2 linked regions of the Rattus norvegicus genome follow. The protein of the gene in region 2 purifies or fractionates together with the protein of the main gene of each other region. This does not show direct contact. Links are inferred from orthologs where the notes say so. Each region holds a gene or a part of one and is shown on either strand. Other genes may lie near its edges.

Region 1 (4,125 bases), on a different chromosome or scaffold from region 2:
CAGGTGGCCTCCGGGTGGGCTGGGGTCCTCGCTGCTACCAGTCTCCTCGCTGCTGCTCTTGTAGTCGTCGCCGTCGGCTCCTGTGCCTGGCCCGTCCAGGCTCCCGGGATAGCGTGGCGGGGGTACCAGGCCGAGCGGGGGACCCCCGGGTGAGGCGGCAGGATCCCCACCGCGCTCCTCGAGGCGCTCGCCCGGGGAGCCTCGATCCCGGACCAGTTCGTCGCCATAACTACCCAGGCCTGGCTCGTGCTTCATCCAGCGGTAGAGGAGGCTGGAGCCGTCGGGGCGGCCGGGGGGCTCGGGTCCCGGACTGCCACCGCTTCCTCGAAACGGGTCTGGAGTCGGTACGGCCTCCTCCAGCTTTTGGAAGGGCAAAGGCGGCAGCGGCGGCAGGGTGAGCGGTGGCTCCTTGTAGACTGCAGGCCCCGCACCCGGAGGGCTGTCCGGACGTGGAGGCAGTTCGCGCTCACTAAGCGGTCGCTCGGGGACCGAGGAACCTGGCGGGCTCTTCTTGGACAGATCCAGGCCGCAAAGCGGGGAGCAGCGACGCTCCGGGGCGCAGAGTGAGGCTGCTGGGCCCGGGCCCGAAGCATAGAGCTCGGCGCAGTGGGTGTTGACCGCTGCCTCGGGGCCCGACGGCGGCTCGGCGGCAGGCGGCGGCGGCGGCCCGGCCGGGGACGAGTAGCAAGCCTGGATGACGGGCGTGGCAGCCCTCAAGCCCCTGCCGGGCCGCCCGTAAGGCGCGTAGCCGCCGCCGCCGCTGCCTCCTCCCCGCAGGTGGCAGTACTTGCCATGCCGTTTGAGGCGCTTCTTGCACAGAGCCACGAGGTCAGGGATCTGCAGGTAACTGGCAGCAGCCAGCACAGCGCCCAGGCTCGGCTCGGCGCCCGGGGCCACCGCCGCCGCTGCTGCGGCCTCAACACTGTCAGTAAGGCGGCCGGTGTAGATGAAGTCCAGCACCAGGCGGAACACGGCCGGGCTCACCATGTCATGGTCCAGGTTTAGCAGGTTGTCATGCACCACCAGGGACTTGAGGTAGGCGCTGCTGGCTGCCAGCACGTTCTTGTGAGCGCGGAAGAGGGCGTTCTGCACCACGATGATCACGTCGCACAAGAAGCCCTTGGTGCGCTGGTTGTTGAGCTGCAGCAGTAGCTGCCTCGAATGGCCAGGCGCCTCCATCGCGTCCAGCATCGTCTGCCCAGCACACTCTCCTGCGGGAGACACACACCAGCTGGGTCAGAGCTACGCAGTACAGTGCCCCTGCCTCTTGAACCCAACCCAGTCTGTTCCCCTCCGCTTCCCCTTCCCCTCAGCTGAGCAGGGGCATGGAGCACCTCGGCCTGAACAGCAGCCGAGGAGGATCAGCGGCCTCCGGGAGTGGCAGCCTAGGCCCGCTGGCCCTAGACAGAAGGAGCAGGAAGATCAAGGCTGTGGATGGAGAGGAGGCCAGGTTAGCCTATTTGTCCCAGACCCAGATGCTCCTGGGCACTGGAGCTGGGTGCTGGGAACTTCCAGGGAGAAATCTGTTAGGGCGAAATGACCCTTTCGGAGACTATTACCCGATTTAAGTAAAATGTCCGCTTCAGGAAAAGTCATTCAGGGCCGAAAAGTTTGCCCAAGTGGGGAGAAAAGGAGCCGATTTAGAAGCGCCTCCCGCCTCGAGAGAAGTTGCCCCGGTTAGGGGAAGTGATAAGGAAGACAGGAGCACGATGCCCATCCAGGCGCCGCCCTGGCCGGGGGCTGTCAGGCCTTCGTTTGGGCCCGCCGCCCCGGCACGGGGAGCGGAGACAGTGGCTGCGGTGGCGGGCAGAGCGCGAAGGCCGGGCCCCGGCGCGGGGAGGGCGTTATATCGGGGCAGGAGGCTGAGGCAGGAAGCAGGTGGGGGGGAGGGGGGAGCCACGCAGCTCCCAGGGGAGGGAGGGGGCAGCGCCCCGGGCGGGCACGGCGCACAGCCGGCTGCGGCCCTGACCCTGGCCTGCGCCCCACCCGCGTTCTGGACCCAGCCCGGGCCTCGGCTCTACATCTCTTCCCCAGCTCCCCTCCGCCCCGTCTCCCCCGAAACACTGCCGCCCCAAACTTGGGGAAAACTTTCCCAACTTCAGAAAGGGCGGGAGGAGCGCGCCGGCCCCAGCCCCTCTCCCCGGCCCCCAGTTTCTCCTCTGGGCCCCCAATTTCAGCAGCCTGGTGGCCGCGGGGACCCACACCAAACCTAAAGCCGCCCTGCCCTCCGGCGAGCACGCCCGCCCCTGTTCCCCGCCTGGCCCGCAGGGCCTCGCCGGCCCGTTACCTGCGGCGGCAGCCCAGCCCGGCTTCCCTCCCTGAGGCGGTGGCAGCTCCTAGCCTGCGCCCCACCCGCCCCGCTGCCAGGCGCCGAGCTGTGCCAGGGCAGCGCCCCTGCCAGCCCCGCCCGCCGGCTCCCCTTGCCTTCCCCTCTCCTCCCCAGCCCATGTGCGGGCAGAGCCGGCCCCGGGCCGCTGACCCCGCCGTGAACCCGGCGCCGAGCAGCAGTCGGGCCATCCCGAGTCCTCTAGGGAAGACACTTAGAGCCCCAAGCGCCAGCCGCGACTGGGGCGCCCACGCCTGAGGATGCTCCTGAGGCGGCCGGCGCGCGAGGACCGGACTGTCCCGGGTCCCTGGCCCTTCCCTGTCGCCAACTCCAGGACCCACCTGGGGGGCATGTCGGAAGCCCCGGGCCCGGCTGCCGGCGGATCCAGGGGGGGACGTGGCTGCAGTGCGCTGCCCTCCGCCCGCCGGGCCCCCGGTCGGTCTGTCTTGCCGGTCCGTCCTCCCCGCGTCCTGATCGCGTCTCAGCCCCTCCGCGCTTTTCGCACACTCTTATCTGGAGCGGCCCGAACCGGCAGACGCTGCTGCGGCCATGGCGCCACCTCGCGGCCGCGCGGGGCTGTGTACGGCTGGGCTGCGACCTCTGGCGCACACCTGGGCTGGAGGCTTGCAGATGCGGAGCTGAGCTGGAGATCTTGAAGGTTCGCGCGCTTCCAGATGTGCCCACCTGGAGACCCAGATATCGATCGGACCTGGGAGTCCCGTAAACCTTGGGGTTTTGTGCTGAGTGCTTCCGAGTACATATTTAAAAGTAATATTGCACCAATTCGGAAAAGGTTCTGTCTTCAAATGGGGAACTCAAGCCAGGGCTGGTGGCGCACTCTTGTAATCATCTTAGCATTCACTCGGGAGTTGGAAGCAAGAGGACCAGGAGTTCAAGGTCAGCCTCTACTACATGAGGCCCTATCTTTAAAAGGGGGATCGGGTTGGAACACTACTGACAGTATGTTGTGAGAGGGCGATTTTAGAAATCTTACGTGAGTTGAAGGTAAATAAGTTCGGAGCCGGACGAGGGTGGCTTTTATTAGGCATTTCTGAGCACCATTATTCACTTGAACTCACTGGGGAGAAAAATTCCAACTCTCCCCCAGACACATGTTATCAGTATGCATATCATAAACCGTCCACATTCAAACACTGTCCCAGCAGTGACACTCGAGGGTGCGCATGTTTACACAGGCAGTCCGCCCCTCTCCCGGAGTCCCAATGTCTTGGGCTTCTGAAGAGGCTAGTATGTGAAACAGGGAAGAGGACCTACCAAAGAGCCCTCCCCGAACTTGCCGGTCTCCAGAAGGACCCTAGAACCCTCCACTGGACGTAGCTGGACAAAGCCCCCTTGGGACATGCCTCTCAACTCCCCCACCCCCCATCTAAACAGTTTTGAGGGATCCTAAACTGTTCCAATACACCATTCGAGAGATATCACGAGAACCGGCGGCTTGAGACCCCCCTCAAAAAAAAAAATCCTATACGCCACATGAAGGAGGGCTCAATTCATGTTGGCGACGCCTCTTCTAGGAGGGAGGGGACCGTGCACCAGCTCTTGGGTGCTCACCGGAAATGTCCCTGCATAGCGGGGCGGAGGCACAAGCACCGTTACAGGCACCGCGCCTCCGTGGCCCACGCTCCGCCTCTTCCCCGCACCTCCTGACCCCCGCCCACACCACAGGGGGGGTCCCCCCAAACCGCCCACAGCTTCTTATTGGCTGTGCCTTCCTCCGTGGCCAAGCCGGAGAGGCTGGGGTGCAGAGTTACTATGGTAACCAATGAGGTTCCGGGGAT
Region 2 (3,510 bases):
CTTCAGGCATAATGGTAATTGTTTTAGCTTGGGGTTTCTGGGTAAGGGGAAGGCCAGCCACACACCCGCTGTGGGCTTGCCGTGTTGAACACTGGGGGACTTGAAGTGATACCCGCCCTGCCGCTGCCGTGCTCCTCCCTTGCCTGCTTGAGCTTGGCCCTGTTCCCGCCACCCATCAGACTGCCTTGTCACCGCAGCTCCCATGGAAGTCGCTCACCAGCATCATTGAGTATTACTACATGTGGAAGACCACCGACAGATACGTCCAGCAGGTGTGCCATCCCACTCTCCCGATCCCCATGTAGCCACATTATGTTTGTTCATTCTTTCCCAGTGACCTCCCCTTAAGCCCTAGAGAAAAGAGGAAGGACCTAGGGTCACTAGAGGACTCACAGACTGGGAGGAAGGGACATTCCTGACCCCTAGCCAGCCTGGTAGCCCCACTCTCTGGCCCCAGGCTGGCCAGGGAAGGTCATGCAAAATTTTCCCCAAGGATGCCAGTGATGGCGAAACAATAGCCTCTCCCTCCCTGTGTTCTCCCAGCTTCCCTGGCCAGCTTGGTGACCTCCCTAACCCTCTGTTTTGTTTAAAGAAACGTTTGAAAGCAGCTGAAGCAGAGAGCAAGTTAAAGCAGGTTTATATTCCCAACTAGTAAGTCCTACCTTTATATTCCTGGGGCCAGTGGAGGGTGGGAGGTGGGTGTGGGACACAGGCCAGGCGGCCTCCTGAGTGACCCTTTCATGAGCTTGCTCCACTGGGGAGGAGGGAGCAGGATTTAAACTTTTTTGGCCCAGGAGTCAAGCTGGGTTTAGTGCCGCATATTTTGGGATATGGCAGCCAGACTACAGTGGACCAGGGATATCTGTGGGGATACAGACACCCCAGGGCACCTGTGACTGATCCTTCTCCTCCATCAGTAACAAGCCAAACCCAAACCAGATCAGCGTCAACAGTGTCAAGGCCAGTGTAGTGAATGGCACAGGGACACCAGGCCAGAGCCCCGGGGCCGGTCGGGCCTGCGAGAGCTGTTACAGTAAGTGCTGTACCTGGCTGGCCCCCATCCTGGGCAGCAGGGCCACGGGAATGCTACTGCGTGGCTGTGGCGCTCAAGGGGCCCCTGAAGCCCCCGTGCCCAAACCCGGAATGACTCACCGTAATGGGGCTGCAGTGGTGGTGGGGTAGTTTGGAAGAGTTCCTCAGGAGTATAAGGTGGACCTACTATGGTCCTGAGCCAGGGGTGGGATGGCTGTGGTGGCGGTGGGGACACTGGGATGCTCTGCACCGTTGGTTCTGCTTAAGAATCCGTCTATTTCCAACTTTGTTGTCCGTAGCCACACAGTCTTACCAGTGGTATTCTTGGGGTCCCCCTAACATGCAGTGTCGCCTCTGCGCATCTTGTTGGACATATTGGAAGAAATATGGTGGCTTGAAAATGCCAACCCGGTTAGATGGAGAGAGGCCGGGACCAAACCGCAATAACATGGTAAGTGGGACACACCATACCTATCTGTCACCTGCTGCATGTCAACCTCAGGTCCTTGGCTTCCAGTCACAGTGCTATATTGGGGCGGTGTGCCCCATTCCACAGAGTCCCCATGGCATCCCAGCTCGGAGCAGTGGGAGCCCCAAGTTTGCCATGAAGACAAGGCAGGCCTTCTACCTGCATACTACCAAGTTGACACGCATTGCCCGGCGCTTGTGCCGTGAGATCCTACGCCCATGGCATGCCGCACGCCACCCCTACATGCCCATCAACAGTGCAGCAATCAAGGCTGAATGTGAGTCTTCTCCTGTTCTCTCTCTTGGGGCTAGCAGGAACCAGACTCAGGCAGGGTATCCAGCTTGGGGTACAGGTAGCCTGGCTCTTGGGGAACATAGGTCTTCATCGTCAGTCCCTTGTCCTCACGCAGGCACAGCACGGCTGCCCGAAGCTTCCCAGAGCCCACTGGTGCTGAAGCAGGTAGTACGGAAGCCCCTGGAGGCTGTGCTCCGGTATCTTGGTAAGCAGGATGGGTGGGACATAGGTTTCTAACTCTCATCCTAGCACCCCATCTAGGACACATGAAGTGATCACTAGGATACACTGTGCCAGGCTCAGGAGTGCCTGTGATCACTAGGATACACTGTGCCAGGCTCAGGAATGCCCGTGATCACTAGGATACACCATGTCAGGCTCAGGAATGCCCGTGATCACTAGGATACACCGTGCCAGGCTCAGGAGTGCCCGTGATCACTAGGATACACCGTGCCAGGCTCAGGAGTGCCCGTGATCACTAGGATACACCGTGCCAGGCTCAGGAATGCCCGTGATCACTAGGATACACTGTGCCAGGCTCAGGAATGCCCGTGATCACCTAGGATACACTGTGCCAGGCTCAGGAATGCCCGTGATCACCTAGGATACACTGTGCCAGGCTCAGGAATGCCCGTGATCACCAGGATACACCGTGCCAGGCTCAGGAATGCCCGTGATCACTAGGATACACTGTGCCAGGCTCAGGAATGCCCATGATCACCTAGGATACACTGTGCCAGGCTCAGGAATGCCCGTGATCACCAGGATACACCGTGCCAGGCTCAGGAATGCCCGTGATCACTAGGATACACCGTGCCAGGCTCAGGAATGCCCGTGATCACTAGGATACACTGTGCCAGGCTCAGGAATGCCCGTGATCACTAGGATACACTGTGCCAGACTTAGGAGTGCCCGTGATCACTAGGATACACCGTGCCAGGCTCAGGAATGCCCGTGATCACCAGGATACACTGTGCCAGGCTCAGGAATGCCCGTGATCACCAGGATACACCGTGCCAGGCTCAGGAATGCCCACGGAGAGCTGTGCTGTTTCCTTCTTCCTCCAGGCCCTGAGTTCCAGACACTCTGATTTTAACTTTCCTGGCATGCCCAGCAGCCCTGTGTCCTGGCTAAAGTTTTTGTTTGAGACAGGGTCTCTCACGTGGCCCTAGCTATCCTGGAACTATGTAAATCAGGCTGGCCTCAAACTGGAGATCCTCCCACCTCTTCTTCCAAAGTGTTGTGACTAGAGGCATGTGCTACCACTGATTTCTGACTAGGGTGTACACTAGGTATAACCTACCAACAAGTCCCTAGGGCAGGGTGGACACCTGCTGCTGCAAACAGGCCTCTCCCCAACATAGCACAGCATTGGAGGCTGCTGTGAGGCCTTGATGGGCAAGGTGCTTCTCTGGCTAGCAGCCGTGCAGGGATTTCTCCTTGCTTGTGTTTGTTTGGGGACTATTAATCTCTGGGCAGTGGCCATTTAGGAATGGCACGTCATGAGGTTGAGCCAGATGCGTGGGGTCACTTGTGTGCAGGGTTTGAGTGGACTTGAGTCGGTCCTCCACCATGGAGTCGACAGCTCCTCTAGAAAGGACATTCCAGAACCATAAGCTAAGTGCGTTCATTGCAGACACAGTGTCTGGCTTTGCTCCCTGGGTCCTGAGCCCCAGAAGCAGCCTCACCCAGGAGGGTGCCAGGATCTGCCTTTT

What was found. The genes of interacting proteins can lie anywhere in the genome.
Region 1: the proteins of Mta1 (region 2) and Hic1 purify together in Homo sapiens (affinity purification with western blotting; 3 studies listed by BioGRID). This does not show direct contact. The link is inferred for Rattus norvegicus from reciprocal best matches to the Homo sapiens genes MTA1 and HIC1.

The regions. Positions count from the first base shown.
Region 1 is NC_086028.1:60,514,637-60,518,761, forward strand, and holds the start of Hic1 (hypermethylated in cancer 1 protein), read right to left. Parts: upstream 2,810-4,125; 5' UTR 2,668-2,809; intron 2,395-2,667; exon of another isoform or gene 2,288-2,394; intron 1,818-2,287; exon of another isoform or gene 1,597-1,817; coding exon of another isoform or gene 1,560-1,596; intron 1,212-1,559; coding exon of another isoform or gene 1,192-1,211; coding exon 1-1,191. UniProt on the Homo sapiens protein: Transcriptional repressor. Recognizes and binds to the consensus sequence '5-[CG]NG[CG]GGGCA[CA]CC-3'. May act as a tumor suppressor. Involved in development of head, face, limbs and ventral body wall.
Region 2 is NC_086024.1:138,030,910-138,034,419, forward strand, and holds part of Mta1 (metastasis-associated protein MTA1), read left to right. Parts: intron 1-197; coding exon 198-272; intron 273-592; coding exon 593-651; intron 652-917; coding exon 918-1,033; intron 1,034-1,331; coding exon 1,332-1,483; intron 1,484-1,588; coding exon 1,589-1,778; intron 1,779-1,910; coding exon 1,911-2,000; intron 2,001-3,510. UniProt on the Homo sapiens protein: Transcriptional coregulator which can act as both a transcriptional corepressor and coactivator. Acts as a component of the histone deacetylase NuRD complex which participates in the remodeling of chromatin.